2 linked regions of the Schizosaccharomyces pombe genome follow. The protein of the gene in region 2 interacts with the protein of the main gene of each other region in a biochemical or structural test. Each region holds a gene or a part of one and is shown on either strand. Other genes may lie near its edges.

What was found.
Region 1: the proteins of smd3 (region 2) and saf5 form a complex in vitro, tested with the Schizosaccharomyces pombe proteins (one study listed by BioGRID).

The regions. Positions count from the first base shown.
Region 1 is NC_003424.3:1,786,850-1,799,548, reverse strand, and holds saf5 (protein saf5), read right to left. Parts: upstream 9,043-12,699; 5' UTR 8,925-9,042; coding exon 8,271-8,924; 3' UTR 8,150-8,270; downstream 1-8,149. Other genes in the region: nucleoporin Pom34, read right to left, coding at 1-421; mrx11 (uncharacterized protein), read right to left, coding at 714-1,202; protein Mmc1, read right to left, coding at 1,669-3,249; poly(A)-binding protein Crp79, read left to right, coding at 4,577-4,697, 4,783-4,960, 5,052-5,526, 5,598-6,956; mrpl1 (mitochondrial 54S ribosomal protein uL1m), read left to right, coding at 7,306-8,067; ftp105 (Ubp5 interacting protein Ftp10), read right to left, coding at 9,857-11,050, 11,103-11,357, 11,457-11,834, 11,891-12,098, 12,197-12,699.
Region 2 is NC_003423.3:1,687,865-1,705,651, reverse strand, and holds smd3 (Sm snRNP core protein Smd3), read right to left. Parts: upstream 3,497-17,787; 5' UTR 3,471-3,496; coding exon 3,434-3,470; intron 3,389-3,433; coding exon 3,329-3,388; exon of another isoform or gene 3,274-3,328; coding exon 3,144-3,273; exon of another isoform or gene 3,091-3,143; coding exon 3,024-3,090; 3' UTR 2,892-3,023; downstream 1-2,891. Other genes in the region: palmitoyltransferase Pfa3, read right to left, coding at 190-951, 1,024-1,251; phosphoprotein phosphatase Phs1, read left to right, coding at 1,888-1,900, 1,951-2,487, 2,540-2,616; cytosolic thiouridylase subunit Ctu2, read left to right, coding at 3,679-4,779; mrpl51 (mitochondrial 54S ribosomal protein mL43), read right to left, coding at 4,946-5,154, 5,251-5,413, 5,505-5,570; protein Mdm34, read left to right, coding at 6,559-7,917; SPOM_SPBC19C2.10 (BAR adaptor protein ), read right to left, coding at 8,811-9,728, 9,844-10,431; transcription factor Sre1, read right to left, coding at 11,122-13,824; U4/U5/U6 small nuclear ribonucleoprotein complex subunit PRP38, read right to left, coding at 14,674-15,164, 15,363-15,504; fructose-bisphosphate aldolase Fba1, read right to left, coding at 16,209-17,285. UniProt on the Schizosaccharomyces pombe protein: Plays a role in pre-mRNA splicing as a core component of the spliceosomal U1, U2, U4 and U5 small nuclear ribonucleoproteins (snRNPs), the building blocks of the spliceosome.

The sequences.
Region 1 (12,699 bases), on a different chromosome or scaffold from region 2:
GTAAGTACCTATTCAAGAATTGAATACTAATAAAAGCAAATAAATTGGATACCATTCTGCTCCACGTCCGGTCTGAAGGTGCTTGATCATGAAGTCTCTTAGCTATTTTGTCTACAGCGGGGTGCTTCCAGTATCCACGTGGGATATGAGATTCATTTATGTTGTCTGTCCCAGGAGCAGGAATCGATGGCAGCTTCATTGAATTAATTACGGGTTTTTTATCTTCTTCTTTACTAGGGATGATATTTGGTTGCTGTTCTTGAGGTTTATGAAGGGAAGAAGCTTTCGGGTCTGTAGGTAAAACTTTAGGAAGTGTAATAGGAAAATTGGCTTCAGTATTCTTTGATGAATCGACCTTGTTCTCAGCGGAATCTTCATATAGAGAACGCGCAAAAACCGATTGTGAAAATGTACTCGCCATTATATTCTTTTTTTGAACAATTTAAAAGATAGGTTAGAAATTATTTTAGCAAATGTAGGTGTAAACGCGAGACTTAAGAAAATTCGAAGTGGAAGAAGTAACTGGTAAAATGTTAGTTGGAAACAAACGGACGCGTAGAAGACACCATATTATTTTCGACAAAATAAGCTTATTTATTAGCGAAAATTTGGCCAATCAAATTTGTACCTGAAGATACGCTAAATATGGGCTTCTAAATCATTTTGGCGAAAATTCTTATGTACATGTATATATGCCATTGAGGCGATTTATACTAACATACCTTGACTACAGCATAAGCAGCAGCACCATCAAGGAGAGTTTTGCTAACTTTTTCGAGAGGCAAGTTATATCCTAATTTGGCAAAGATGGAAGCTGCGACGTGAGAACCTTTTTGAAGATATTCGCCTGGTAGCCCAGTGGGCGTCCAATCGAGTGAATGAAATATAAAAAAGAAAATTGGTAAAGGTAGTATAGCACTTAGCTCATGTAAAAAAAGAAATGCAAATATATGAGAAAAAGGCTTATCCTTAAATTGATGTGCTTGCTTGCCAGTAATTTTTAGGAGGCGTTTCCATAGTTTGGTGTCAGACCGAATGGTATGATTCGAGGATTGTACCTTTTCCTGTAAGATAAACGGCGAATAATGAAATTTACGCTTATTCAATAAGATAAATGAGCCTTTTAGAGCTTGCAAGGGACTTCTAGATGGTATATGTAAGGTTTTAGCCAGACCTGAAATTCTAATAGTTGGTGGTAACATATTGGAGCTAATGAAGAATACTACAGTGCTTACAGTGTATAAATGTTAAGCTGGTACCTTGCGATTTTTTTTGAAATCTTGATTAAATAAAACTGAATGGATGCTGCTTAATTTATGCTAGCTAGTTTTACTACTACTGTACATGAAAACAATTAGAATCTTCCAAAAACCTCGACTTAAAATCACGAATATTTTTTACTGAAATCGCTAACTCTGCTGTAATTTGATTACTACATTATAAAAAAGGGATTCTTTCTCCAATATGTATTAAGGGGCGAGCAGTTATCATTGTTACACAGTTTTCCTTAAACAATAGGTTCGTATACTATTATTTTTAACAAGTGAAATTAGATAAGGTAATTAATTATTTTACTCCTAAAAAATGTTAAATCTAACTCAGAAGAAATAAAACTTCGATACCTTGTTACTAAATCAAGAGAGGGGTGATAGGTTAAGTCATAAAAGTTCATAGAAGTTGCTTTTTCGAGGCTGTAGGGCTATCCGAAAAGCTTGACTGTAGTTGAAATTCTTTCATAAGGTCCAATGTTTTCGTCAACTTTTTCATAATTAAAGAAATATGCTCTTTCTTTTCAGCTGCAGTTTTCTGCTGTACATAAAAACTAGAGCGCCCAAAAACGTTACGACAAAGCTGTCTTTCAAATTTCCGACCTTCTTCCAACAATTCCTTCCAATACTCTTTCTTCCAAGATCTATAGCTGGACTGTAAATAGTAGAGGCCGAAAACGCCACAAACAGAAAATACGCTAAAGGCGTTGTACAAAGAAAAATGAGAGACAAAATATAAATAAAGAGATCCAAGAGCCCCCAGTCCCTGAAAAGCAGTTGTGTATAGTGTCTTTCGACGTAAAGGTTGTAAGGCTTGATCTACAGCACTCATACGGGAGTTTTGAAATGTCCCAAAATCTTTCATGGCGAGTTCAAAATTATTTTTATCGTCACCGTTTTTCGACAACTCACCTAAAATAAATGACAATTCGAGCTTTGATTTTTGTAAGTACTCATCCTTTATTAATTGTTTTAGACTTGCAGGTAACGACTCAATGTTGGAATATAATTTCAATGTACCAAAATTTTTCCAAAACTTTTGAAGTTTCTTTTCAAACTCTTGAAGATCGACATCACAGTACTTGGCCCATTTTTCTATCGATATCAGCATAGAATTGCTAAATTCGGTTGCGCGAACGAGATCTTTCTCGGCTTTTGTTAGAGAAAAGGAGCAGCAAAGATAATTTAGAAAACGTTTGCATATTTCTAAATCACTTGTTGGCGTCATGTTGGTGCGTAGTTGTTGAAATCCACTTTGCTCCCATTGATTTTGGTAATTTTGAAAGTTGTGGGGATCATCCTGCAGAGCTTTGGTGGCTTTTAATGCAGCCGATGATGAGACGGGTATTATAGATTTTTCATTTTTTAAAAGAGAATGCAACTTTGGGTCAATATCGAGCACCAACGTGTCTGCAGTAGTAAAGTCACTGGAGGTCATTCTTAAATAAGAAGTAGAACATATATATCGAGCATGGCAACTAGCCAAAATATCAGAGTCCACTGTTCCCGGAGGAAGGTGAATAATTTCAAGATTATTGACTTGTAGGAAGTCGCTTGGAAGAAATAAATGTGACGTACTATACCTAGCATTTCGCTCAAACAAAGCATTTGTGCCAAACGAGATATAAAGTGGGTTTAGTCCATTGTGATCCATGGCATATTTCAATTCTTTTGACTCAGGCATAAAGGGAGCAGCGAGAAGAGCATGTGTGATTTGTTTGACACACGCGACATCTTCGGCAGAAGAGCTTAACGCCTGTAGCGCAATCCTCCTCCTAATATTCGATTTGGAAAGCAAAAGGGAGACATTTCCTACACGAATTGTTGCAGGAGAATTGTCATCGACTAATCTTCTCAAAGAATAAAGCTCATTGAGCAGCTTTTTTTGCAAATTGGAGATGATCTGCACATGTGGAGCGGTCGACGACCTGCGTATCGCCAACACAGAGCGCTTCCATGTTTTTATTCCAAATCTTAGCATAATTTCTCTGAGCCTATGAAAAACTAATCACAACAAAGGATCGCATATGAACCACACTAGATTCGAAAGCCAAAAAGGAACGAGATTACCGGATTTTAGATAGTATTAGTTAAAGTTCCAAATACACAATAAAACATTTACTAATAAGTTAATAATTCTTAAAACAAATACTATAGTGAATAATTGTTGTCTGATGGCACCCGAAGGTTGTATAGTAGTTGTGTCTATTGAGTAGTGTCGTAGATGTTATATCAAAATACCTTAACCCAGCAGTATAATATTCTTGGAAAATCATTGGATATTGTTAACCCTTAAATCTGTATATGTTTATTTATTTGTTCAGTCAAACAATCATAAAAACAAAAAAACAAAGAATTTTGCATTTTGTTAATTTAGACGAATTCATTGTTCATAAACAGTGACAAAATCCGAGGTTTATACAAGTATTTGAAGAAAACGGTATTCGACAGAATGAAGCTTTAAGTCTAAAATGGATTAGAAGGAACTGAAATGAGCTACATAAATTGCTCTTAATATTGGAGAACTGCTAACATTTATAACCTTTTTAATGATTACACTAAATCTTCACCTATTGCTTTTCACTTACTTTAATGGTCATTCGATTCAAACTTATTTTATCTAAATCTATTACCTTTTGCCAGTAAAATACTGTATAGTTAGTTAGCAAAGAATATAGGCGAGTAAAGCTCTAAACTATCATACTTCTAAAATCAAAGAAAACCAAAGAAAAAAGCAGATGAAAGAATTTAGTAACATCTGGATTTTGAGTAATAAACTGATTGACCTAACTTATTGACAGGTTGTGCGATATCAGTTGGTTTGCCAAAAACAACAATAATTGAAAATTTATGAATGGATTCACCAGAATATTAGCCTAATTGCTTTTTGATTCATTTAAGGAAATTCAACTTTTAATTTGAAATCAGCGAAAGCCGAAAAAAGGATGGTATGAATTTGAAATATTTTTTAATGCGAGCAGGTAATATTGACTTTAATAATAAAATAAAATAAAATGTCATTATAAATGCGATTTGAGGATTTAGTAGAGATATGGATAAAACAGATATGAACCAAACTGCATGAATATTAGGAAATCAAGTTGTAAATATAAAACAAGCATTTTTAAAAAAAAACAAAAAATATTACTCTAAAAATGTTAAGAGGTCAATTTAAGGTTTGTTTACTCTCATTTGTTATGGTGGTAATAGTTTCAGTCATGCATCATCGAAATGTAAACAAACAGCGATCCTATATATACCAAAAACAACAACCATTCCTTTCCATCACACATCTTTTTTGAGATAAAATGAACAATTCAAAACTCTCTGTCCCCGGACAGTATGAAGATGAAAGCAGTACTATATATGTAGGAAATATAGATTCCCGACTTTCTGATGAAGAAATCATCAAACACTTTTCAAAATATGGTATGAACACACAAGTCAAGGATAAAAACACGAGGAAAAACATTAGAAAACATAAATAAAAGCGATATATTAATCAATTCTTTAGGACAAGTAGAATCCATCTTTCGTCGATTACTTGATAGTTTTTATCCTAAGGAAAAAGCGAAACCTTTTAAACCTCCTAAAAATGGAGTGCAATATGGGTTCGTCAAATTCGTTAATGCTGAAAGCATTGAAGAAGTTCTAAAGGACGCTAAAGGAATGACTCTGGGCCAAAGAAAATTGTAAGTGACTGAAGGGAAAAATTAGAGACAAGCATTACAGAAAAAAAAATCGAAAAATCATTCTCCAAAAAATTACTAACCTAAAAAAAAGGACCATTAAAGCAAGAGTCGTAAATCCTGCGAAACTGACAGACAAAAAATTCAAACCTAACGATACGTCAATCACTGCGAACGTGTTCAATCCTAGCATCCAAAACAATACAGATGAGGAAAACGTTAAGCCAGGACTCAAACAGTCTCAGATTAAGGAATTTATTCCAAATGTCGAAGAAAGAAATTGGGAAACTGTGAGAGGCATAAATTCGCGTAACCCGAAGCCAGAAACAACGCTTACCATACCGTCTCTTGGTTTGGAAGATATTAGCATGCAAGTTGTACCAAATGCCTTCGCTTCTACGTTACCCCTTAGTATCTTGAACCTACCTGCCGAAGTCACACCGATTGACTTATATAACCACTTTAAACAGGCTGGTGTAGTAAAAGGGACGGCGGTCAGCCAGTTTCTTGACCAAAGAGGGTTCCGGTATGGCGAAGTGATTATGGATTCAGTTGAATCATGTCAAAATGTAAGCTCAATATGAAGAGAAAACCCCAATATTTGCATAATCTATTTCATGATACTAACCTCATTATTAAGGCAATAGAAAAATTAAATAACGTTCCATACAAAGGAAGCATTTTAGAGGTCAGTATAAAAAATAAAGCCTCTTCTTCAGTGAAGTCAATTCCCACAACGCCGACTGGTGAAAGCTTATGGCCTTTCCCATCGGAAAACGCTAACAAAACTCAAATAAATATCGAAAATGCTACATGTTCGAAGATGACATGGATTATGGGCTCACCAACTAAGGAGAAAAGCCAATGGGGTAGCGTTTCAACTACCGGTGTTTCAAATCAGCAAAATCATCCAGCCGCTTGGAACCCAGATAATAAACCTCAGTCAATCGTGCATTGGGACTCTTTACGTGAAAGCTCTCCAAGTATCCCTAATTCTCCTATTGACCCTTCAAATCTATACGTTAAAAATTTAGATGATACCGTCATCACATGCAAGAGTCAGCTGGAAGATTTATTCTCACCCTTCGGGTCGATTTTGTCTTCCATGTTAGCATGCTATCCAAATTCAGGAATCTCCAAAGGTTATGGTTTCGTAGCGTTTCGTCAAATAGAGGCTGCCGTTAGAGCCAAAGACACATTGAATGGAATGATGGTTGGGAAAAAAAGGATTTTCGTTTGCTTCGCGGAGCGAAAGTCTGACAGAATTCGTAGATTGCAAGCATTTTTTGCAAACAAACCTACTTCAGAACAAACAGCGCAGCAAGACAACAAAGCTTTGTTCGTCAAACCAGAAAGAAGCTCTACTGTTACCATCCGAAAGCCAATAGAGTCTTCTACAAACAAAATCTCTGAGAATCCCACGACCCTTTCAAGTAAGGTTGAAAATAAGAATGAGCCTAAGACTGGTGAAAACAAAGAACCCAGTCAGACAAATGAATATGTTAACTGTAAGCAAGAAAATAAGGAACTTAGTGGACAGTTATCAGGCAACTTGGATATAAAGAAAGAAGCAGGAAAATTGAGCCATGACGGAGAACAAGGAAACTTGTTAAAACCATTGGTATTCCATGCTAACACAAAACTAAATAACCGAGGGTCTGCTAAGATGGGTTCAACAGCCACCAACTTGAAGAAGATACAAGACATGCTTCACAACAAAAAGCTGAGTAATGCATACTTTGTGCCAAGAGCAAGAGCAACAACCTGTACAACTCTTACGTACGTAACAGTTGAGCCCTCACATTTCCAAGATGAGGACTGTAATGAGTCAACGAACATGCTTTCACTTGTCGGGTACATGGACAGCTATCCAGAAGCTACATCCAATATCCAAAAAATGAATTCCTATCATATTAAAGATTCAAATAAGGAAAATTTTTTATCAACAACAAAGGTTAACAACAATTCACCAACAACTATTCAGTTGACGCAGATTTAACAAGATGCGGTGAAGATATAACTATGAAACAAAATTCATAATGCTATATCCCTCAAAACTCCGATGAACAAACTTTTAACTCCTTAAAATATATACATCGTGAACGGATGGATTTGCTAGTATAACCCTACAGTATCTTACAACTACCACAACGTGGAATTTAAACGAAACCGTTTATTTTTAGTCTTTAATCAAAAACATTATAAGGAAATTTGATTTGAAAGATAATTCTTTATTAATTCGAAAGTTGACAGCTGGATCAGATTTGTTTAGAGATTTATGATTTTAGCAGGTTCATTGACTGACATCCAGTAGCTTGGTGACAGTTTGACGAACCAGATTAAAAACCATGAGTTCATTAATAGCGTTAGGTAAACGGCAAACATTATTGTCACATAATGAATTTTTAAATTTTAAAAATCAAAAGGGTTTCTGCAAAAGGTTTATTTCTCAACTAAACAAGAAATCCAATTTTCCCGCTCTTGCGATGACAGTTCCTGAAGCCACAAAATATCTCAAATCTGTGAGCATTTCTGTTCCATATGTTGGGTCTTATATGCTTTCAATTGCTTTAAAAAGTAATCGACGCGCTCCGTCAGCTCGTGGTCAAATTGCCTTTCCTCATCCATTTCAAGAGCCTCCTAAAATTTGTGTGTTTGCTAAAGGTGCAGCTGCAGATGAAGCTTTAAAATTGGGTGCAACCTATGTTGGTGCAGAAGACTTAGTAAAAAAAATTCAAACAGAGCCCCTTGAATTTTCAAAGTGCTTTGCTCATCCCAACTCGGCAGAATTACTACCACAAGTTGCTAAATTATTAGGATCAAAACGTCTTATGCCTTCAATAAAACGAGGTACTATATCAGATGAATTGAAGCCACTCATTGAATCTGCCCTCACAGCTGTTGACTATCGGCAAAATGATGCAGGCTCGATAAATTTGCCGGTTGGAAAACTAGGGTTCAGCGACAAGGAGCTACAAGAAAACATCGAAGCACTTGTATCAAATGTTCGGTTTACTTTGGCCAAACTGCCTGGAAAAGTTAAAGTTACCGTAAAGCATGTTCATCTTTCCGCCTCACATGCTATTGCAATTCCTCTCCAGTATAAATAATGATTAAAATGTTATTGCATGGGAAATTTAGTCTACAGTCTTGTCATTTGTAATATGTATTACATGATTAATTTTGTACAAATTAGTGAAATGTGTAATGATATTTTATCTAGTAAATTTAGAAGCCTGTTTATATTTATTTATTATCATAAACTACTTTTTAAAAAGTATGAATGAAACGTTAGAATACAACATTATGAAAGTTACTCTGTGCGATGCCATTTCAGAACAGGCGATTCCGGAGAATCAAATCTGTTATCACAAGCTGAGGTATCTACGTTTTCAGCCGTAACCCACTGGTGATTTGGATCAAAAAATAAGGACATAGGGTTTCCCATACTCGCGTTTTCAACATCATTATCTGAGGAAAAAGTGTCCGGATGTAGAGATTGGCAAGTACAAAGAGCCTGGTAACATGAATCAACATCAGTAACATATAATGTTAGTTCTAAAAAATCATCTGTGAATTCATTTTCATCTTCGGTAGAAGGAGCTTCATGCAATGTTCCTGACGACCGTTCAAATTTAAGAATGTGATCTAGCAAGGGTCGAATGGCTTCACCCTCTAATTGAACATATACATATGGCTTATCCTTGCTTTGTTTCGCATGAAGAGTAATGGTTTCATATGGAATTTTCCAGCCAGAATTCTGTTCTTCATCAAAAAGGATAAAGCTCTGTGAAGTTACTAATAAAGTTATCAATTTGCCCAAAGGAAAACTTTCCTCATCACTTCTAATTTTATAGGGGACTGTTTTTTCTTCAAAATAAACGATTTCTTGATTTGGCAACAACTTTTCACCATTTTCAACTTTGCGAATTAGGTCCTTTGGAAGTGAGTCAATTTTGGTAATCATAATTACTTCTTGCTTCCAATAGGTATTTAAGCATAAAAATTATTAAAAAACAGTAATAAGGCCACCTCTACCTGATAATTTATTGAAAGAAAAGGTTTACTGTGCGTTGTATTCTTTTGAAGTACTCAAATACAATATCTTCGCATATTAAGCATTTCGCAAAATCGAAAATATATTTCTACTCTTAACCACACGAATTTTTTATAAATTGAACCATTATGCCAAACAGGATATCGATTTTACTCAAATACTTTTGATATGCAATTTTCGTAAATGACAAGCTAGTTATTCATTGCAATTACAAAACAAACTCATGAATATAAATAGTTTTGTGGAAAAAATAAAGGAAAGGTCTAAGGTCTTTATGAAGTAATCCTCGTTACCCAAAAAATTGGGACTCAAAACTTTTGAAATTGGATTTTTTATTTTATATAGTAAACAGATTTATAAGTGTAGCGAAATAAAGCTAAGAATTTTTTAGCAACCAATTCATTGCTATATAAGGTTATACATTGATTTGGATACATGTAATGAATTAGCATCAGTGGATCGTTTCTCTCATAAAGGTGGGTCTTTCTAAAGTATACGAGATTGACTTTCAAACACCAACTTTCCAAATCAAACTTCGAAAGACTTTTTTAAAGCTAGTGACAAGGTTGGAGCAGAAGATTCTCCAAGCCAGTTTTTAGTTAATTAATAGAATGAAAACAAATCGAAAAGTTCAAAAATCAAAATTAGCAAGGCAAGATTCTGGTCATCAGTATATAATTAAATGATGGCAGTATGTGGATGCAAATCCTCCAAGATAATTTTTTAGTGAACAATTTAATCAATAAATTTTCAAAGTAAGATACCATAACATGCATGCAGGGTTTTCTTCAAATATTTTTTAGGACAAAAGTATACTTTAATTTACGCATTGAATTTAAGAATCACTTGTTGCGTAAACTGGAATCGTGGTTGACACTACTTGGCAGCTGTAAATACAGCAAATCGAGTTTGTCAAGTATAGATTTTGTGGCATTCTCCATTGAGTTAGAACTGTTTTCAGGAGATGCAACTTTCATGATATTTCCATGTTGTTTGTACACTTTAGAGGTTGTAAATAAAGAGGGAGTAGCCATTAAACCTTTTTCATCAAATGACAAAGTATAAAGCCAAACAAGACTTTGAAACCAATTATTCATAGGGACACTCCAAATAAAGTAGCGAAAATTGGGAACTCGAGGATGTACATCATTTAGCACAGAGTTAGCTAATAGTTTAACAGCTTCGTCAGTAGTTGATAATTCTTCATTCATTTTCTTGTATACAGGTAGAGAAAACTGAGATATAATGGCTAGAATAGAATCCAATTCAAGTCTTGAATGCCAAGAATTAAACCACGAGTTGGAAGGTGCAAACAAATTTGAGTCAATTTCTAAATCTTTTCCAAACGGATTGGATGCACATTTTTTAATAAGTTCTGAACTAGAAACATTTTCCGGTATTTTCCCACGCAACTTTCTAGACAGAACCAATGGAGAATCTGAGAATACATCTTGAAGGACTGTCGGGACAGAAATCGAAACATTTCTACTCGAAATATGTGATAAGCCACCGCGTGAACTACTGCTACTAAAAGGGGAGGAAAATTTATCTAATTCATCGAAAGGTGAATCATCTTCAACGGTAGCAACTTTTTTAAAGTCAGTATTTTGGAGTGGTGTTCCATCTAAGGAGGTGTTATCGGATGATTTAGATTCAAAATCACTACTTCCTTCCGAATTGAGGGCCACTAAAGGCTGTGATTTAGTCTGAGCAACGGCAGGAAGTTTCATAGAATTAAGATTCAAAAAAACTTGCTGGAGGCGAATAATAGAATAACTGAGATTAGGGTTTTGAGAAAACTTGTTTTCAACTATACTAGAAATAGCCTGTAACAGGTATTCAAGAAGCAGATGATTGCGCGGATTACGAAAAAGAAACCGAGGAGATGAAAGAGATGAACAGAGTTGCATTAATTTGGCACACGTAACGAAACTTAGGTTTTCAACAAATGGTGCAATATTGCATATGGTCAACAATATAACAGGAGATAAACTGCTAAACGGAGATCTCTTCACTGCTGAAATATGAAAGCTAGACTGGAAGGCGTAAGTAATAAAATTAAAATAAACAATTAATCGTGAATCTTACGATAATCAAAAACTCTGCATAAGACATTGGTGGGACTGAGAACCCAAGGGAAGACATCAATGATTGTGCATTCATACAGTTTCTATTTAGTTTTTCACAAAGAACCTTCTCGCATGATAAATAATGAACGATAAAAAGGCAAATGCGAACAAGGCCGGAATGTTCATTGTCTTCACGATATCTAAGTGCATAAAACTGAATAGAAGTTAAAAACTCCGTAGCATAAGGAGAAGTGATCAAAAATGCTCGGAAACGCTGTTTTAAATTAGTTAGCAAATATAATGAACGCGTAACAACATAAATTAAACAACTGTACAAATAATGTAATATATATAAAAGGACCGTTGAACATACTTTATTATATAAAATTGCTTGCCAAAGAAACAAAATAATTTCCGGAAACGCGATATTAGGCTTTTGTACAATTGAAATATAGGCAGAGATAGCGGAAACTGGTGCATTCAATAGCCGATATAGTTCGTTAACTAAAAATTCATAATCAGCTTGTAATTGAAGTCGAGAAAAATATAATCTATACTGATTTTCGATAGCAGCGCCAGGAGAAAGATTGAGTCTCTGTCTGAAGTATTCGACTGTTGTTTCATGAGGGGTGTGATCTAAAAAAAGCAAAAGGATTTGAGAAGTAAGTTTTGAGAGTGCAATGCTAGAATCATTATAAGGTACTAGAGTTGAATACGAAGCCTTCCAGCTATCAGGTCTAAGTCGCAAAGTCTAAAAACTAAGTTAGTTGTACAACAAAAAAAGGTAAATTTTAAGCCAAAACTTACAGTATTTATAAGGGAATAAAGAAAAACTAGTATAAGCTGCTTATTTGCTACACAGGTCAAATAAGTAAGGGTGTGAGAAGCTACTTCAGAAGATCGATACAGCCTTTTAGAAATCAATACTAACAGCAAACGAAGAACCTCAATGCGATTAAACGCAAGTTCCTTTGTGGTTTTCTCTTGGGTTTCTGTTGTACCAATTCCATTTTCCCTGCAAAAGTGATTAGTTAACACATTGCATTTAACCAAATATAAAAAAGCAAACGAAAAACAAAAAAAAAATATATATATATATACATATATACTTACCATATAATGTATGCATATTGCTCAGGACTTGAAAGAGGAAGCGTAAAGCCTCTGCAAAAAAGCAAACGAAAGACGGTGTCCAGCAATTCCTCCATTAAAGTTTTTTCATGAGTAAAAGTTTCTTCAATAGAGCCAATTTCTTTGATTGTGCTAGAACCACCTACTGATACGTCAGCGGCAGAGACGTCTGAAGAAGCATCAAGGGAGATGGAAGAAGCAGGAAAGGTGCTCACAGGAGATAATGGGACTGAAGGAGACTTCTGCGAGAATTCGTTCTTTTGGGAGATGGAATTTTCAAAATCTAGATCGTCTTGAAAATTACTAAGGTCTAATTCGGAATTTTCCTTTGGTAAATTTCTCTTCTTTCTAAGGCTCCACCAAAACTTTTGATGCCATTCTTCTAAATCGAGTTTCTCATTCAAAAAAGGAATGATTCTAGTAAGTAGGCGAATGCAGTTTAACGCTTCACTCGCTGGTGCCGTTTCAGGATTTGGAAACTTTTT
Region 2 (17,787 bases):
AAAAGGACATATTTGCTTATTTTTTTTTCTAAAGTGCTTTCAACTGATTTTTTCGGAGGCAAAACTCAAAATCGGCAAAAACACGGATTATTAAGGAGCGGAAGAAACATTAAGCATTTTTTTTCGTAAAAAAGATTGATTCACCGGATGATTTACTCTTGAAAACAGTAAAATAGAAATGTCGTTGGCTTATACCAAGAAGTCTTCAATCCACTCATATTGCCCCATATGAGGATTCCAACGGCGATTTTTCATAGCATATTGCTCTTCATCGCTACTCCAACCTTCAGCTCCAGCAATGCTAGCAGGAACCGAGCTCTTGTAGAGTTTGTCATTCTTCTCTTCTGTTTGGGGTAAATAAGGGAGAGCATTTGCATTTAATGGATACTCAACACCTTCCCCAATAGAATTGGGAAAAGGAAGTAACCAAAGAAATGGGGATTTCCCCATAATCTGGCACCAATTTTCGTACCAGCCGACATTGAACGGTTGAGTGGAATGCGTATATCGACTCCATGAAGAGCTCATGGATTCCAAAGTGCTTAAATTATGAATGAGCAATGATGTATGATAAAAAGTAAAGGCAGTCATAACAATGCTCATTCCAACAGCAAAAGCAAACAGAAAGCCCCAGAACACTAAATAAATAGCACTAATATTCGCTCCTTCGGCTGTGAAAGTTTTGGTGATGGCAACAAAAGTTGAATAAAGAACGCAGATGGAGTAGAGATTTAAGTAGAAGCACTCCAGGAAGAAAAACTTGTGGTTACGGAATCCAACACAATTTTTAAACCACATGCAATGATGGTCCATTCGAAGAATGCACTTATTACATTGCGAGCAATGATGAGATCGATCGCATTTGTATTCTTGACATTTTTCGCAAAATCGAGATTTTCCATTCTGTAATGTCATATATTGCCTAGTAGAATTCGGATCAAACGAGGTCTCCTGAAACAGAAGAGTTAGTTTCCTGTTTTAATAATACTCACATAATATTTATACTAAAGGAAATTGACGTACCGATGGAGAGCCTGGTGGTGTAAGATTAGTAAGGACATAACATGTTACGATCATAATGTACAAAAACAAAATGATGATCCCTACACGATTTTTATTGATTTTGTAAATTCCCCAAGCAAGCCATTGAACACCACTCATCAACGAAAGCGCAATTATTTGCATACAATACTTTGCAAGAATTACCAAGACACATTGACATATAGTTGATACTTTATGAATCAGATTCATAGTTTTTATAACTTCTATCAAAATTATCAATAATTATTATAATAATCAGATTGTCCCTTAATAAACCTCTTACATGTGATTGCAATTTTTTTTCGATGAAAGGAGTGTTTGGCTGTGGCTAGGATGTTAGTCATCCGTAACAGCAGGCTTTCTTCTTACGAAATGACTAGCACATAGTACTTTAAACAAATTACATATAGCAGAAAAATGTTTTCAAATAATTATAAATTTCTAATTTTAAACTGGTTCAGATTACTAATTTAATACCCGGGGTTTGTAAATTTTTTTTGACTTGATAATGTAAATAAAGACACGTATCATCAATCGAGTCAGATAACCCAATTAGTTATAGAATATGTAATTTACCTTAATTTTTTAATAATCTGATTGATATTATTTTTGATCAATTTATGATTCTGTGCGAATTTGATATTTTCATTAATACATAACGATGTTAGCCAAATCCGAATTTTAAAAGTTGTTTGTAAAGTGTTTGTATACATTCTTTTGATAGAAAGAATTTATCCATCCCCCAGAACGCAACAAACAATATTGGCCAACAATGGTCTCATACAAGTGAGGCCGCGTAGTGAAACGTTTGAAAATCGTATTGTTCCAACTACAATCCCAACAAAAATGTCGAAAATTTGTAAGACTCGATTTTTTATAGATCTCAGTTATTAACAAAGTTAAAAATAGTAAAAATACAATATTTAAAACTATACAATGTTATCTCCTGCTTTCTTTGGATGAGCGTTTTGCTTCGTACAGGATTGATATGGGGAATAACCAAAGATACAGCCGTAGTTTTTCATGAAACAAATACTTTAGTTCGCTGGGTACAAACTCTGGCAATAGCTGAAGTATTCCACAGTATATTTGGACTAGTATCTTCTTCTCCTTTAACAACAATCATTCAAGTTGCATCTCGACTTTACCTTGTTTGGGGTGTGTGCTATCCATTTTCATATGTTATTGAGGGATCTCCTATATACTTAAGTATGATCATCGCTTGGTCCATTACCGAAATAATTCGTTATGCATTTTATGCATTCAACCTGAACGGCGACATCCCTGCTTTCTTAACATGGCTTCGCTATAATACCTTCCTAATCCTCTATCCCATCGGTGCTGGAAGTGAATTTCTTTTAGTATTGAAAAGTAGGATTGCTGCTCAGTACGTCTGGAGTTTGAACAAGCTGCTTTGGCCCATCTTGATGTCTATTTATCCACCTGGTAAGTTGAGTGAAACCCAGCTTTTCTTCCAAAATCTTTATTAACTTTCTAGGTCTTTACATTATGTATACACATATGCTTGCTCAACGTCGAAAGATTTCCAAGCGGGCTGCTGCCAGAAGAACCTAATTTTTTTTTCTAAGCTAAAATAAGTTAGGTTTATTATTCTGTAGTATCGGATATTACATATTATTCAATTTTTTACTTAACTTTTGCATTCGTATAGCATATAAAGATTTATGTTGTAAATATGTATTTTAACAACACAAAATAGTGGTAATAGCATTTGTCACTATAGATAAGTCGAAGGTATCACTCCGATAAACAGCAGCTACATAAACGTACTTCGAAAAGATGTAAAAAGAGCTTATTCACAATATCTCTTACTACTTACAATGCAATGTAGAAACACGTGCGTCCATTAATTTATTGAATATTTAAAAAATCATTACGTTTTTCAACTTTAAAGCAACAGTAGAAATGAATTTTTCATTACTTAAATCACCAAATCTATTATCCTTTTTCATACGGTTCTTTTATCGTCGTCCACGTGTAGGTAAAGGAACACTTCTGCCAGGGCCAACTTTGAACATAGGAGCATTCCTTGTTTAAAAACGTTAAAATTATGATTAAACCAACCACTTAAAAATTCTTACCTAAGCATATCAGGAACGATGAGAAAACGAATGTGTGAACCACGAATGTAAACTTGATCCAAATGAGAAACACGACCATCTCGAGCAGTTACACTGATATCTCTCATTTGACAATTCATATTATCTTCCGCTAATTAGTGTAAGTAAACCATAACAAAATAGAAATCGTTTTAAAATGAATATACCTTCAATTAACTTTCCACGATACGTAGACCCATTTTCCAACTCCATCGTAACGATATGGCCTAAAAATTAGTTTTACTAAAAAAAAATTGGGTAAAAAATCGTACCTTGGGTCTCATGAAGCAACTTAATACACAGAGACATGGTCGATGGTGGTGTACTGTGTGAGTAGCTGGCACTATGAAAAATTCCAGTGTTTAGTTGGTTTGCGCACCACCAACTATTCTTTTTCCATAAAATTGGAATTGAAAGAAGAATAGGTATCTCTTAAACTTATTTATTTATACGGATAATTTTTTTGAAAGTACTTTGTGGACCTTCATTTCGAAAAACAATAGAAAAATCTAAAAAAATGCAGAACACGGCTCTAGACAATTCAGCCGACTCAAAATGTTCCAAATGCGATAATAAGGCAACAGTTCTGACTAAATCAGATGCGGTCTGCGATTCATGCTTTGTCAGAAGAATTGAGAACAAAATTCGTCGGCAATTTGAGCTTGTACGACCCAATTTACAAGGACGCAAATCTAAAAGAGCAATGCTGGCTATTTCCGGTGGTATATCTTCAATGGCAATGCTTGAAACAGCCAATTATTTATCAAAATATCGAGATGATAATTACCGGCCTATGTTTGATGAATTGCTTGCAGTTCATTTTCAGTGGGGAACGGATTCAGCTGTTGCAAAAACGATTGAGGAAAGTATTTCCAAAAATTATCCTAAATGTCCATTCAAAGTTATTGGTGAAGCTGAGTTATTGAACCGTACCATTGCTACAGACTCACGAGGAAATATAGAAATAAACGCAGATAATGAGAAATTTAATCCAGAAGTCATTAGTTCGTTAGCCTCGCGTCAAGATTTACTTTACCGAATTCGGGATAAGCTTTTAGTATCCTATGCCCGGAAGGCAAATTGTGATACCATTGTTTTTGGTGATAGCGGTACTACAATTGCTGCAAGAGTTCTTGAACTTGTGGCAGAGGGTCGAGGTTTTGCGATACCATGGTACACTTCTGTCTGCTCTAAGCTTCCAAATTGCGATACTTTCCTACTACGTCCCCTACGTGAAGTTTTGTCTTCAGACCTCAAGTCGTATATGAACATTAAGGGATTAGCTTTCTGCGATAGCTTAATTGAAGCACGTCCTAATACTATTCATGGCGTTACAGAATCATATTTCTCATCGCTGAATGATACATTCCCAAGTCTGGTTAGCACCGTTGTCAAAATGAGCTCAAAATTGCATGTGCCTTCTACAGAAGCCATATGTACCATCTGTAATCTACCAATGCAAGAAGATGCTGAGACTTGGTTACAAAAAACTACGGTTGAACATCCGGATTCCGTTGAAGGTATTAAGAATCAAAATGTTTGCTATGGCTGTTCTGTTTCTTTAAAAAGCTTAAAAGGGACGTTGCATATTCCTGATATTGAAAAAGAAGGGATTTGATACATCTGTACACTTACTACCTGGTTAACTAGAGTATTTATGGGAAGATAAATTTGGATAGGGTTTTGTATTTCGGACAAAAAGGTTAGACATAATAACATAACGAAAATGATTAAATTGAATTTTCTTTTTTTTGTATGAAATAATAAGTAGTTTGTAGAGGAATCTAAGGGGACTTTTTCTTATAAATTTCATGGGGCTTTGCTTGATCGGAAAATGGACTCCAAATACCACGAACGGATGGGTTTGTTGACTCAACAGGATATTTTATGAGGCGAGGTTTCAAACCATCACTATCTCTGCATAGAATTGCTTTTTGAAATATTGAAGACGCTGACATTTTCCTTGTACAAATGACCTTCTCTCGACCAGTATCTATTATCGTAGCATTAGTAAAAAACACTATTTTAAGGAGTTCATATTTATAAAACTAAGAGGATCACCATAATAAGAGAAAAGTCTTGGACGTACTGTAATAAGCTCGGATTAATGGATGCTTGCCTTGGCGGTTTGTAACATGAAATTCCACATCTTGAGATTCTTTGGCCAAAGACTCAAGCTTTGTGGATAAAAATTCTTTCATGCCTTTTGAGCTTCCACCCCAATTACAATACGAAAACTCAATTCGACGGCACTAAAAAGAAAATTAGTAATACGAAGTTAATGAAGGCCAATCTTTTTTTTTTTTTTTTTTTTAAAAAAAAAGAAAGCTGATTAAATCTTACTGGGCGGGTAAATGAACCTAGTCCATTTTTGGGAATTGAAATTTTAGGAATGATTTCAATCATCATTAAGTGAGTAAAAGGCCGTAAAAAAGGGGATACCGTCTTTTAAAAACCAGAATTCTTAATATGCTATATTGAAAAAAGTTGGGTGAGCAAATCCTTGCAGAAATAATGAAAAGTCGGTATGGAGACGTAAAGGGGTGTGTGGAAATTCGCAAATCCCAAATTGCTCTAAACTTCAATACTTGTTCCAATTGATTTAGAATGTTAAACTTAGTATGCAATTAGTTTTATAAAAAATTTTAGCAACAAAATCAAGTTTACTGTCTACCTACAGTTTCTGGTTACACACTTTGCAATACTTTACCTTTCTGCTCTTCTCTAAATAATGATATCTAGAAAGTTTACAGTGATTTTTTAACGTAGTACATGGACTGCGAACAAACATAATATAGGTTTTTTAAAACGAACAATTTTGATTTAATATCATTCATTTATGCAGAGATATCCTTTTCTGAAAGAGCAAAGTTGTATCGGTTCTTGTACTCGAAGTTCTTCAGCCTAGATATTTGTCAACATAGCAAATTAATACAGTAAGCAACACCACTAATATCATTTCTAAAATAATGGCTGAATTTCTGATTTGAATATCTAAGGAATTTCATTTCATGAAGCTTTATTTATCCCTCCTAAATGAACAGAATAGCAAGAAAATATATTTCACCAGTATAGCATAAGAAACTACTGTGCATTTTGTAATAATTTATTTAATGCATTCTAATACACCTTCGTTCATATACAGTACGATCGACCCTATCCTTATCTTGGCTATATCAAGGTTCAGTATGCCGCACTAGTGCATCAGCCAGCCTATCGATGTTTATTTACTGTCCGCCACTGTATGGAAGTTGTCGTTTCCCTATCCGAATTTAATAAAAATTTTGTAAAGAAATTGATCTAAAGCGTTAGTTACTTAGTCTATACTAGACGGTTCCTTACAAAAAAATTTGACATTTTTCATAGTTGATGTAGATAACTTAGGAAAATCAACAGAATGTCGTTTCGTGTAAAGGGATGGAGTGATCAGTTCTCTGAGTCATTCTATGAGCGAGCAACCACTTTGCTTACGGCTGCTTTAAACAAAGGCACTAAACACTCGATGATTGCAGACCACATCACTGTAAAAGAGTTGGATTTGGGTCCCCAACCTCCTCAACTGGAAATTTTAGAGGTTGGCGACTTAGCGCCAGACCGCTTTCAGGGCCTCTTTAATCTCCATTATTCGGGTGATGCTTCTTTGGTCTTGCAAACAAAAATTCGTGCCAATCCATTATCGGTGCAAAAAAGTAATGTTCCCAGTTTTAGTTCTCGTAATACAATGTTAGCATCTCGTGCACCGCTTACTGTGCCTATGTTTTTACGACTTTCCGACTTAAAGCTTAACGGAATAGTTGTTTTGGTGTTTTCAAAGCAGAAAGGTATCACTGTGGTATTTCGAAACGATCCTTTAGAATCCGTGCGTGTATCTTCCTCCTTTGATTCTATTCCTGCTATTGCTCGCTTTTTACAAAGAGAAATCGAGGTGCAACTGGTCTCCCTGTTTCAGGAAGAACTTCCTTCCATCATATACAAAATGTCAAGAATTTGGTTTGCCAAGTCCGACTCTAATCTATCTTTTCAAAAAATTCCTTTCACTTCTCCTAACCAATCTCATACTTCTCTGGCTAATTATAACCCAGATTTGCTAGATGGTCCTCCCGACTATCATGAATCTACGAAAGTCGACACTCATCTCCCAATTAAAATGGGCCCATTGGATGTCCAAACGCATCCTAACATTCGATCTATTGCTTCTTTAGCCTTATCCAGAAAAGCACTACTTCCTATTTCTTCTCCTTCAATACCTATGTCCATATACCGGTCAACTCCTCCCGATACGATTATACAGCAATTGACTACTCAATCTGATGATATTTCTGCTGTATCTTCCCCTGCAACCCAATATTCCGCATCAGACTATCTTGGTTCAAATGACACCACGGCTAGGCCATCCATTTTTGGTCGTAGTCATGGTACCTCACAATTCCGCCGCCGAGAACGTGTCAAGAAAAGACATGTAATTAAAATTCATGAAGCATCAAACAAGTCTGCTTCCTCTTCCGAAACTTTTGTTGGTTCTAAAAACGTTGACCTTACTGAATCTGCGTTTGATTCCATACCTGATACTCCTACAAAGATTATTACCAACATTAATAAACTTAAAAGGAATTATACCATCACTAACAACTGGTTGGAAAACCTGCAGCAAAAGATTCCGTCCGAGGTTGATAACGGAAAAGTATCTGGCCTTCAGTACAGTGCCTTTAAGTTGCTAATGTTGCAACGTCTCATGGCTGCCAAAGGTTCTTTTTAAGTTAATTTCTGTGAATAACTTTCTCTTTTTTTTTGTTAACCTGCTACTCTTCAAGCATATCTCATGGTTTATTCAGTGAAAATAATTTTTTTTTTTAACGATAGGGTTAGTTCTCTGAATTTCTTTTTACTCCTCAACATTTGGTGTTATTTCCTTTTCCGTGTCAGTTGTTACCCTTTTTATTTAAAACATTAGTATGCTTTTTTCTTACCTGGATATCTTGGTGTTAATTTTATGTTCTCCATTTTAATGAAATAATCACGATTACCATAATTTGAGGCGTTGGAATTTTTTTTTAATAATTAAATAAGCATTTAAATGCTCAACTAGAAAAGTCCTGAGATGTAAGTTAAATCTCATTATCCCGTTTAAAACGGTTACTAGAAAATTTCCATATTTAAGATGTAATCTTCAAATTTACCTGTAATCAATATATAACAAAGAAAACTTAAAAGATTAAAGGATATCTTTGACATTATGATATTCATGAATACATTTTTATATCCACTTTTAAAATAATACTGTTCATACTCTTTCCATCTTATTTAAAAGTATGAAATTTACGGAAACAAAAGTTCGAGATAAATCTTAATTATATTAAAGCATAGGTGCTAACATGATTAACAAGTCTGTTTAAACTAACTTTTAAGGTTAAGATCACTCAATTTTAATGTCATACAGACAAGTATATCGACAGTCGAAATAAAAAATGAAGAGTACCGGGTAACGTGATGCATAAAAATCAGTCGGTATTATGCTAAAAAAATGAAATAATGCAAAAGAAAGGAGCTTCAAAAAATCATTTAAAATGAAATAAAAAAGAATGATTGTAGACACAACAGCCATTAAAATTGGACGGAAAGTAGCAGCAATAGTACTCGGAATAAATGGGACTACTTAAAGCCCTTTTTCAAAAATGCCCGAAATGTTTTGTCCCATGGATGGGCTGGAACACAATAATTTGAAGGAAACATTCCGGTATTTCCAGTAAAAACCCCATCTTCACCCAGTTTCTCCCCAACCCACCAACCTTCATCAATTTCTTTTAAAACTAAAAGAAGATCTCCCTTTTTTAGTTTTAACTCATTTTCTGTTTCTGGCTCAAATGAATATTTCATTCGTACTACCTTTCTGGATGAAATGGAAGCAAGTGGAGATGAATAACTACGATTAAGCTTGCTCGGGGGAGCATCAGAAATGTTGGAAGGTGAAGGGGATACATTACACTGAGACTTCAACTTTTCATCCAATTCTGCCGACGAAGCAGATAATTCCGGTTGTTTAAAACTTAACTGGATATCCTCCTCACTTTGTAACGATGCCGGTTTGACTGGGGTACTTTGAGTCGTAGACAGTTTGGGTTTGGTATGACGGGGGATTGGAGGTGATGAGGGAGTTGTTAAATCTACAGCAGACTGCCCCAATGAATTTTGAGCATCCGAAACATCCTTGTTATAATTATCTTCAGTATGCTGTGTTCTATTTGAAGAAGCTATGGAAGAATTGTCCAGGTCAGCTTCTGTATGGTAAGAAGGGAGTGTATTGGTGGGAGAATGATATTCATTTGAAGAACTATCGGCCTTTAAAGTATCATCCATTTCAAAAATGGTATTCGAGGGCGTTGTTGCAACATTTGTTGAAGAAATATTCGATGGAATAGATCTTGCGGAATAAGTACGCTTTGGAATATTAACGTTATCCCTCTTCTTGGAAAATCCGTTCATCTCAAGTCCCTTTAACAAATCGAGACTTTTTTGATGAAATCGTATTTGCATCTGTAGGAGTCGTACAACGTTTTCGACACGATCAGGCTAAAAATTAGTTAACAAAAATATTGAGTCATATAAGATAAGTTAGGCAGGCCTAATAATCGTTTAATTATGGCATCAAATTGGTAACGAATGTCATTAGGACGATAATACTTACCTCTAATTCTTTCAATTGAACCATTCTGTCTTCAAACTCTTCCAGAGACTCCTCGTATTTTGCGCGAGCATTCCGTAAATCTTCTTCAAGCTTTGACTCTTCTTTTTTGGCCTTCTGTATTTTTGTAGAAAGCGCGTCAAAGACAAGTCGTCGATTTTCCATCTTCTTTTCCTTCACATCTAAAGCCTTAAACTCGGCTAAAGAATTTTCTAGATTTGCCAAAAAAGAATTGTTCAAATAATCCATAAACTCCTCCTGTAGGTGCCCTATTTCAACCATGCTTTTTCCGTACATGATATAAGTGTGCGAATTGCTTGAAGAATGCGATAATGCTTGCCCTAACTCTACAAAAGACGATCCAACGTGAGTAACAGGTAATTGCTTATCTTTCTCGTCGAGCAGGCCCTTTCGTTTATCCATATTCCGTACCCATCTTGTGCAACTTCTATGAATTTTATCCATTCCCACAAGCCAGGCATCCGTTTCACCTTTCAAGGAACAAAAATCATCAGATAATGTAGTCTTCTGACGATCAAAACCAAATTTTTCACCGGTCCATTGTGAAAGCTTTGCAAAATGTTTGTTCATCTTCAAAGGAGAGCTAAGTTCTTGAATCGACAAATAATAAAAGCGAGTCTATTTATTTTTATTTTAGGTTGTAGGATTCAGAATAAGTTAACCAATATAGTAGTAAATAATACATAAAAACAATTTGGTAGTTTGTTTACCTTTGGTGAATGGTTCGTATTACTCCCGAGATTTCAGTAAGGACGGAACTACGTACTGTACCGTAAAACTTCAGACCACTCTTATCTATCTTATGCATTTCCATTTTATTAATAATTGACATTCTTTTTTTTATACAATTGGTATAAAATGGATATCAGCAGTCTAAGATTCAACACATCTTCATCAACAGCAGAGAGTTAACTGCAAGAGAAGAATCCAATTTTTTAATCTTGCCAATGTGTCATTATTTAAAAAAATAGTTAGTTCGATGAACCTTAGCATGCCTCAAATTGTACTCTATTCATTTTATTTAATCACCAAATATACTCAAATGGTGAATTGTGCTAGCTTGATACAACAAAATAACTCTAATTGCATATTTTTATCACTGCTCTTACCGACGACAACTGTAATTTATTAAAAGAATAATTAAAACTAAAAAATGATACGCAAAATAACTGATGAAATAACAATCATGGAAAATAATAAGGTAGTTGCAATAGATGAGCGTTGTATACTAACTGTTCTCAAAGCTCGAGAATCGACAATTTAAGCTGATGAAACATAACCCAAATCTTCTTGTAAGCGAGATCCAATATCTATGCAAGAGTTGATTAACTTACGAGATAATTTCAAATCTTGAATTTTCAAAGTTCCGATGGCCGTCCGCACGTACATGGCCATCTTTTCAACGACATCGTTTTCCTTTGGAGATGTGCAAATAGGAGCAAAAGTGTTCAAAGCGGTCCAGGAAATAATAAAAGATAAAGGTGTAATGTCTGCATCACTATCAGGTACAAAGATTTCCTGATACATACGTTTAGAAACATCCCCGTATCCAAGGCGTTGGAGTGCTAATGATAGGCATGAGTGGAGTGTGAATAGCTTGGATAAGTTGATCTTTAACACGCTTGACTGCTTGCGTTTATCTTGGCTGCATAAATCCAAAGTGTTCTTGTATGCTGCAAGGACTTCATTCAAAGAATCAGCTGTATTCTCGGGGAACAAAACCAATTTAGCTAGTAAAGCATGACGAATAATAGAGGAGTTCTTAGGACAAAGGGAAATAATTTCCTCAATCTCGGATATCTCAACTTTACGGCTCAAACTTTCCATCAAAAGGGCATCCAACAAATCAGCGGCATACCATGAGGCAAGCACCTCTAGAGGAGATAAAACCAAAACATCAGATAAGGAGCTAATAATACTATCTGACATTTGAGCAGAGTCACGGGTGCACTTTGCTAGAACCCACAATCGCTCAACCATATTCGGAGAGAAAACGTCGTCAGCGTGGGAGTTTTCAATTAGGTTAGCAGTACACTCAGGAAGCTCACGTAACTCCGCGTGTACAGAACTTTTGCTATGTTGTTTCTTTGCAGCATTCCAGAAGAAAGCAACGCACTTCGAAACGATAGCGGATGGGACAGAGGTGTTGGAAAAAATTAGTTGGCAATACATTGCTTGTAAAGCACAAGTATGACTTGAAGGAGGAAGAGAAAATGAACTGGCAAATACCATTAAGAGCCTCAAACGGTCAACTTTAGCATCACCACCCATTAATTGGGCATCCAAAAGCTTTTCCATGTTGCGAACTTCAGCAAGTTGTTGCTCACTATAAACCCAATTCTCAGAGGAGGTATAAAGAGCACTCAAACGATGAGTCAAATAGCCATAAGCAGATTTAAGAGTGAAGATCAGTAATCCAAAAAATAGAGAAATAGTCGAAGTAGAATGGTCCAATAAACAATACTTTTCGAATACGGTTTTTCGGAATAAGATTGAGGATGGTGACATGGAAGATCTGGTACTAACTTTAGATTTCTTTTCACCCTTGAAGCCTTTGAAAAGAGAGTTATCGTGCAAAAGATAGAATAAACCGAGTAAAACAACACCAATTTTCAGCATGTTAAAGAGAACAGTACCTGTGAATGGAGACATAAGAAAAGGTGGAAGAGCGAATAAACCATAAACAGATTGAGAAGAATCGTTTCCAAAATAATTGAATAGACCAAGTCCAACCATGCCATTTAGTGCTGTGCGGCCCATGGTATTTAGGGTTGGGGAAGTAAAAGCTCTTTGGGTTAGGTTTGGTCGAGAAGATTGGTGAACAGAATAGTCAGATGAGGAAACAACATTAACAGAGTTAACGGCTCGAGTATCGTTAGAAGGAGGAGCCATCGAAGGATCTTCGTAGAAAGCCAGCCTATCTGAAAGCTGCTTGTTAGTCTTCTGTAGTTCCTTATTCTTGGCCTCCAAATGTCTGATATACTCAGTTGCTTTTGCCAATATTGTACCCTTGTTAAGCTTACGAGCGGGTGTCAAACCCCCCAAATCCTCATCGTCCAGAGAATTACCACAACGAAGTGCAGCAGCAGCACGAAGTGAAGGAACTGCATCACGCAATTCACAAATTCGGTCGTTCAAGTTGGTTCTGTATCTCTTCTCAATCATGTTATGAGCTGTCTTCTTTGGTTTTCCTCCAGGACCGGCTACAAAATCTGGGGTTTCAGAAGGAGATAATGAGCCTCTAGACTTGGGGGCCGAAAAAGGTAATGTTTCAGGAATTGAGCAAGAATCTTCCGAGGAAGGAGACAACTTTATTTTCTTGGCAGAAGGTTCAGGCTTGCAAGTGGTGTCCATGGGTGTAATAATTTCTTCGGTTTTCAATTTGACTTCTGGATTTGACATATCAGCTGAAGGATAATTTTGAACAGTCGATGGATCGATTGTATCAACAGAGTGAAGGATTTTCATTTGGCGCTGAATTTTATCATCGGCATCGAACTCATTCAATGATGGGCCGGTAAAGGTCTCATTCTGAAATGAATTTGGAGAGCCGCAATTAGAGAGAAGAGGATTTGTAGAGTTTTCTAACGAGTTAGGGGAGCCCATGTTGGTCGAAGTAAACAGAGGAGGCGCCGAGTTCATCGTATTGTCGAACGCAAAAGGGTTAAGCCAATTGCTCATTGATGACTCCATATCAGAAAGGGAAAACGAATGGGGAGACAACGAGGTGTTGGTCAAGGTTGGAGGTGAGTCCTCGACAATGCTAGCCAAATCACACAACAGATTGGAACAATTCTCCACAAAGGGAGTAGAAGTTGAAGCCTTTGTCGATGAAGCCAAAGGGGATGAAGAAGGAATCGCACCCACTGAATTGGGTGATTTGCTGTCAGGCGAAGCTTTTGTTGGAGTTTCCATTGCAGGAGAAGCGACCGACACGGAAACTGACGGAATTGAGCTTTGCATATTTAACAAAATTTCCAGCTAGAACCAAGCGGAATTTAACAGCGAGTTAAAAAATCCAACAATAAAGAGAAATTGAATTTAACTCTTAGGGTTTTTTATCTCTGTGACTGTATAGGATGTTGAGCGAATTTTCTAATCGAGCTACAAATTATCCAAAATTTGACGCATTAAAAGCTATCCAAGGCGATAGATAGCAAAATAATTTCTTGAATGAGTTGTAAAATAAAATAATGTTCTTAGCAAGAAGGAAATCCAGCTTGATAATCGTTTAAGATTAGGTTATAGCAAGAGTCGAGCGCAGTAAACAAACTCTCAGCAACAACCCAATTGTTGTCAATGAACTTATAAAGGCTACTGGACGTCCTATAAGTAAAAAAATTTAAAATCGATCACCCGATAAGCAAAGTTAGGATTGCTCGAGTATGGTAATGGATGAAAGAGAAAAGTCGTGTTAATTCATATGTGAGCAAAAAAGAAGTGGACTGACATGTTTTTAACGAAACGTAAGAAAATAGACGGAATGGGGTGATTCGTTAAAGTATGGTGTGAAAAAAATTCCGTGGCGTATCAAAGACATTTTATAAATATTTAGTGTGCTGTAAACTAAGTCTATCGAAATTTGTTTACAAGAAAAAATAGCGTATTTGCGATAATATGTGAAATCGATATATATTAATATACAAATCTATTTGATTAGATGTTTGTTATTCATAAATTGTTTTTTAATAAGTTCAAGTGTAAAACCATTTCAATCCATAACTTTTCCTTGTAGAGTCATTCCAAGTTAAATCGTAGACGCATCACAAAATGCGTGCTTCGCTTTACTCTTTTTTTGTATATTACTTATCCTTAAATATTCCGATCTACAGCACCTTCATTGCTCTCCAATTTACTAATTTGTTCTTCATCATCATCTTCTTCGTCTGAAGAAGATGAAAGTGGTTCAAGCAAGTCCAAATCTTCAAGTTGGAGTCGACTTCGCAATGGGGGCAGGGAAATATCGCAAACTACTTCGGCATTTAGCAAATCATCAACAACCTCATCCAGATATGTTAATCGGATCTCAGAATTAGTACGAATTCTTAATTTCCGATAATCTCTTAACAGCGGTTCCAACGTTTGATGCACTTCCACATCATCCCATGTAAGCCGAACGTAAAATGCAGCCAGGGCACGTAAATACTTGAATTCAGGAATAGATAGGTACTGTTGAATTATTTCTTTTTCAGGTGCAATTTGTAAAAGCTTGTATAACAAACAGATAAACTCGGTGGGCCGTTGATTTCCATACTGACCACCTATATATTCAAGCCGTACTGCACGATCCACCAATGAACAAGCTAAGATGTATTAGTCAGTGAATTTGGAATAACAGTTTGAGGACTGATTAAAACAGCAAGTACCTATACTTGGTTTCTTTGCTTGCCAAATCAAGTTCATTTAGGCTATATCACTCAAAATATCGATTTGGAAAGTAATCGTACTTGAACTCTAATATGTAAAAACACTTTCCTTTTCTGTCAATGAAGAACACATACCATTCAATCCAAAACATTGTTCTTTCCAGTAAATAGAATCTACTATGCGTTCTCTCAAGATTTTTCCTATAAGGAAAGTCGGCAGCATTTCATGCGCCGCCTCACCTTGAGAGCGATAATCTCTAGCAAGAAAATCAGCCATAGTACCTCATGAAGAGAATGATTGCTCCAACCTTGATGTCTTGACTTGGAGTAAGCTTTTAAGGAGCAGTAGTGTACTGACAATATAAGTGGTCAAGTCTGAAGAAGCATGCTGAGTTTTGATTGAGAAAGGGTTATCTAAAAAAAACATGGATTCGTGAAATATGGAGGAAAAGGGAAAATGCCCGTACTCATTGCAATGAAAGAAGAAAAAGTTGATCTACTAAACAATGCACACTGTGTACACAAAGCACATGAAATTCAAGCGATTATGTTGTTTTAAGCTACTCATCGAGATTTGCCAAACGATATATATTAAATTCAAATAAACGCACGGACATATTATTTATTCATTCATTGTCATGTGGAATCGGAAATTTTTTTTTTGTAAATTTATATACCTAAGAACACATTAACCAATTAAGGAAGATGAATAAAAGGATAAAAAGAAAAATCTTAACAATATACAGTATGCTTGAAAAACACTTTACAAATCCAATCCAAAAAAATTTCTTAACTTACTTTGCCCTACTTTACTTCAAATATCTCTTATGCTTTTACAATGGTAATTTTAAAAAACAATGTCTCTATATTCAAACACGTAATTTCAAAACAGTATGAACTCTCATTAAGGGGACAAAAAAATATAATTTTAATGAAGCCCACCGTCTATTCAATCATTTCCATCTTTCAAAAACCACAAATTTAGAGAGTGTTGACAGTGTAGAAGTCCTCAAGAGCGGTAAGAACACGCTTGGTCATGGTCTTCTCACCCTCATGGATCCAGACACGAGGGTCGAACTTCTTCTTGTTGGGCTTGTCAGCTCCCTCGGGGTTACCGACGGGGGTCATAAGGTAGTCCTTGTACTTCAAGACATAGTCACGGACACCCTCGACGTAGGCGAATTGGGTATCAGTGTCAATGTTGACCTTGACGACACCGCACTTGATACCAGTACGGAACTCGTTGACAGAGGAACCGGAACCACCGTGGAAGACGAAGAAAACGGGCTTGTCGTTGGTGGTCTTGAGTTGCTCCTTAACATAGGCTTGGTGTTGACCCAAAAGAGCGGGTTGGAGCTTGACGTTACCGGGCTTGTAGACACCGTGGACGTTACCGAAAGCGGCGGCAATGGAGAAGTAAGGGGTAACGGAGGAGAGCTCACGGTAGACATCCCAGATGTCCTCGGGTTGAGTGTAGAGCTCGGTGTGGGAGACGTGAGAGTTGTCGACACCGTCTTCCTCACCACCAGTGATACCGATCTCCATCTCGATCCAGATCTTCATGGGAACGGCACGCTTGCAGTACTCCTTAACTTGAGCAATGTTCTCCTTCTTGGGCTCCTCGGACAAGTCAAGCATGTGAGAAGAGAAAAGAGGCTCACCGTGAATCTTGAAGTAGGCCTCATCGGCTTCGAACATACCGTCCATCCAGGGGAGAAGCTTCTTGGCGCAGTGGTCAGAGTGCATGACGACGGGGACACCGAAGAAAGGAGCGATGGAACGGATGTAGTGGGCAGCGGCGATGGAACCGGCAATGGAGGCCTTTTGGCCCTCGTTGGAGGATTCCTTACCAGCAAAGAAGTGAGCACCACCGTTGGAGGTTTGCAAGATGATGGGGGAACGAGCCTCACGAGCAGCCTCAAGAGCAGCAATAGCAGTGGAGGAGGAGGTGACGTTAATGGCAGGGATGGCGAATCCGTGCTCACGAGCGTAGGTGAACAACTTTAAAACGTTGTCACCTGTAATAACACCAGTAGGTACAATATCGAGAATTCCCATTTTGCTAATTTGTGTGTGTGTTCTATACGACCTTTGGAAGTATGATACTGCAACAGTAGCGCGCAACCCTCTATTATATACCATGGAGCCGGAGTTGGCCTCGGAAAAACTTCTCACCTGATGTGCATATCGATACCTATCCGGTCCGTGGTTACCACCAATCACCGTCCCCTGTTTTAGGGGTTGACGTCAAAAGAAGTTTTTGATTTCTTCCATTTACCATCCCCAATCCCCCCGATAGCGCTCTGCATCGAAGTACGCAATTCCGTTCAAGAACCGTAACACGTTGCGTGGTGTGTGTCAAGGCAAAAGGAAGCGGCGGCGGCGGTAACCAACTCGTTCACCCGATGCACAAACACAAACAAAAGAAACATTACCAACGTAAACATAAATACAAACCTAAGCATTAAACATTTATAAATACAAACATCTAACCTGCCCTATACTATTCATATGTCTATTTCATTTCTATTCATTTCTTTTCATTAATTTCATTTCATCT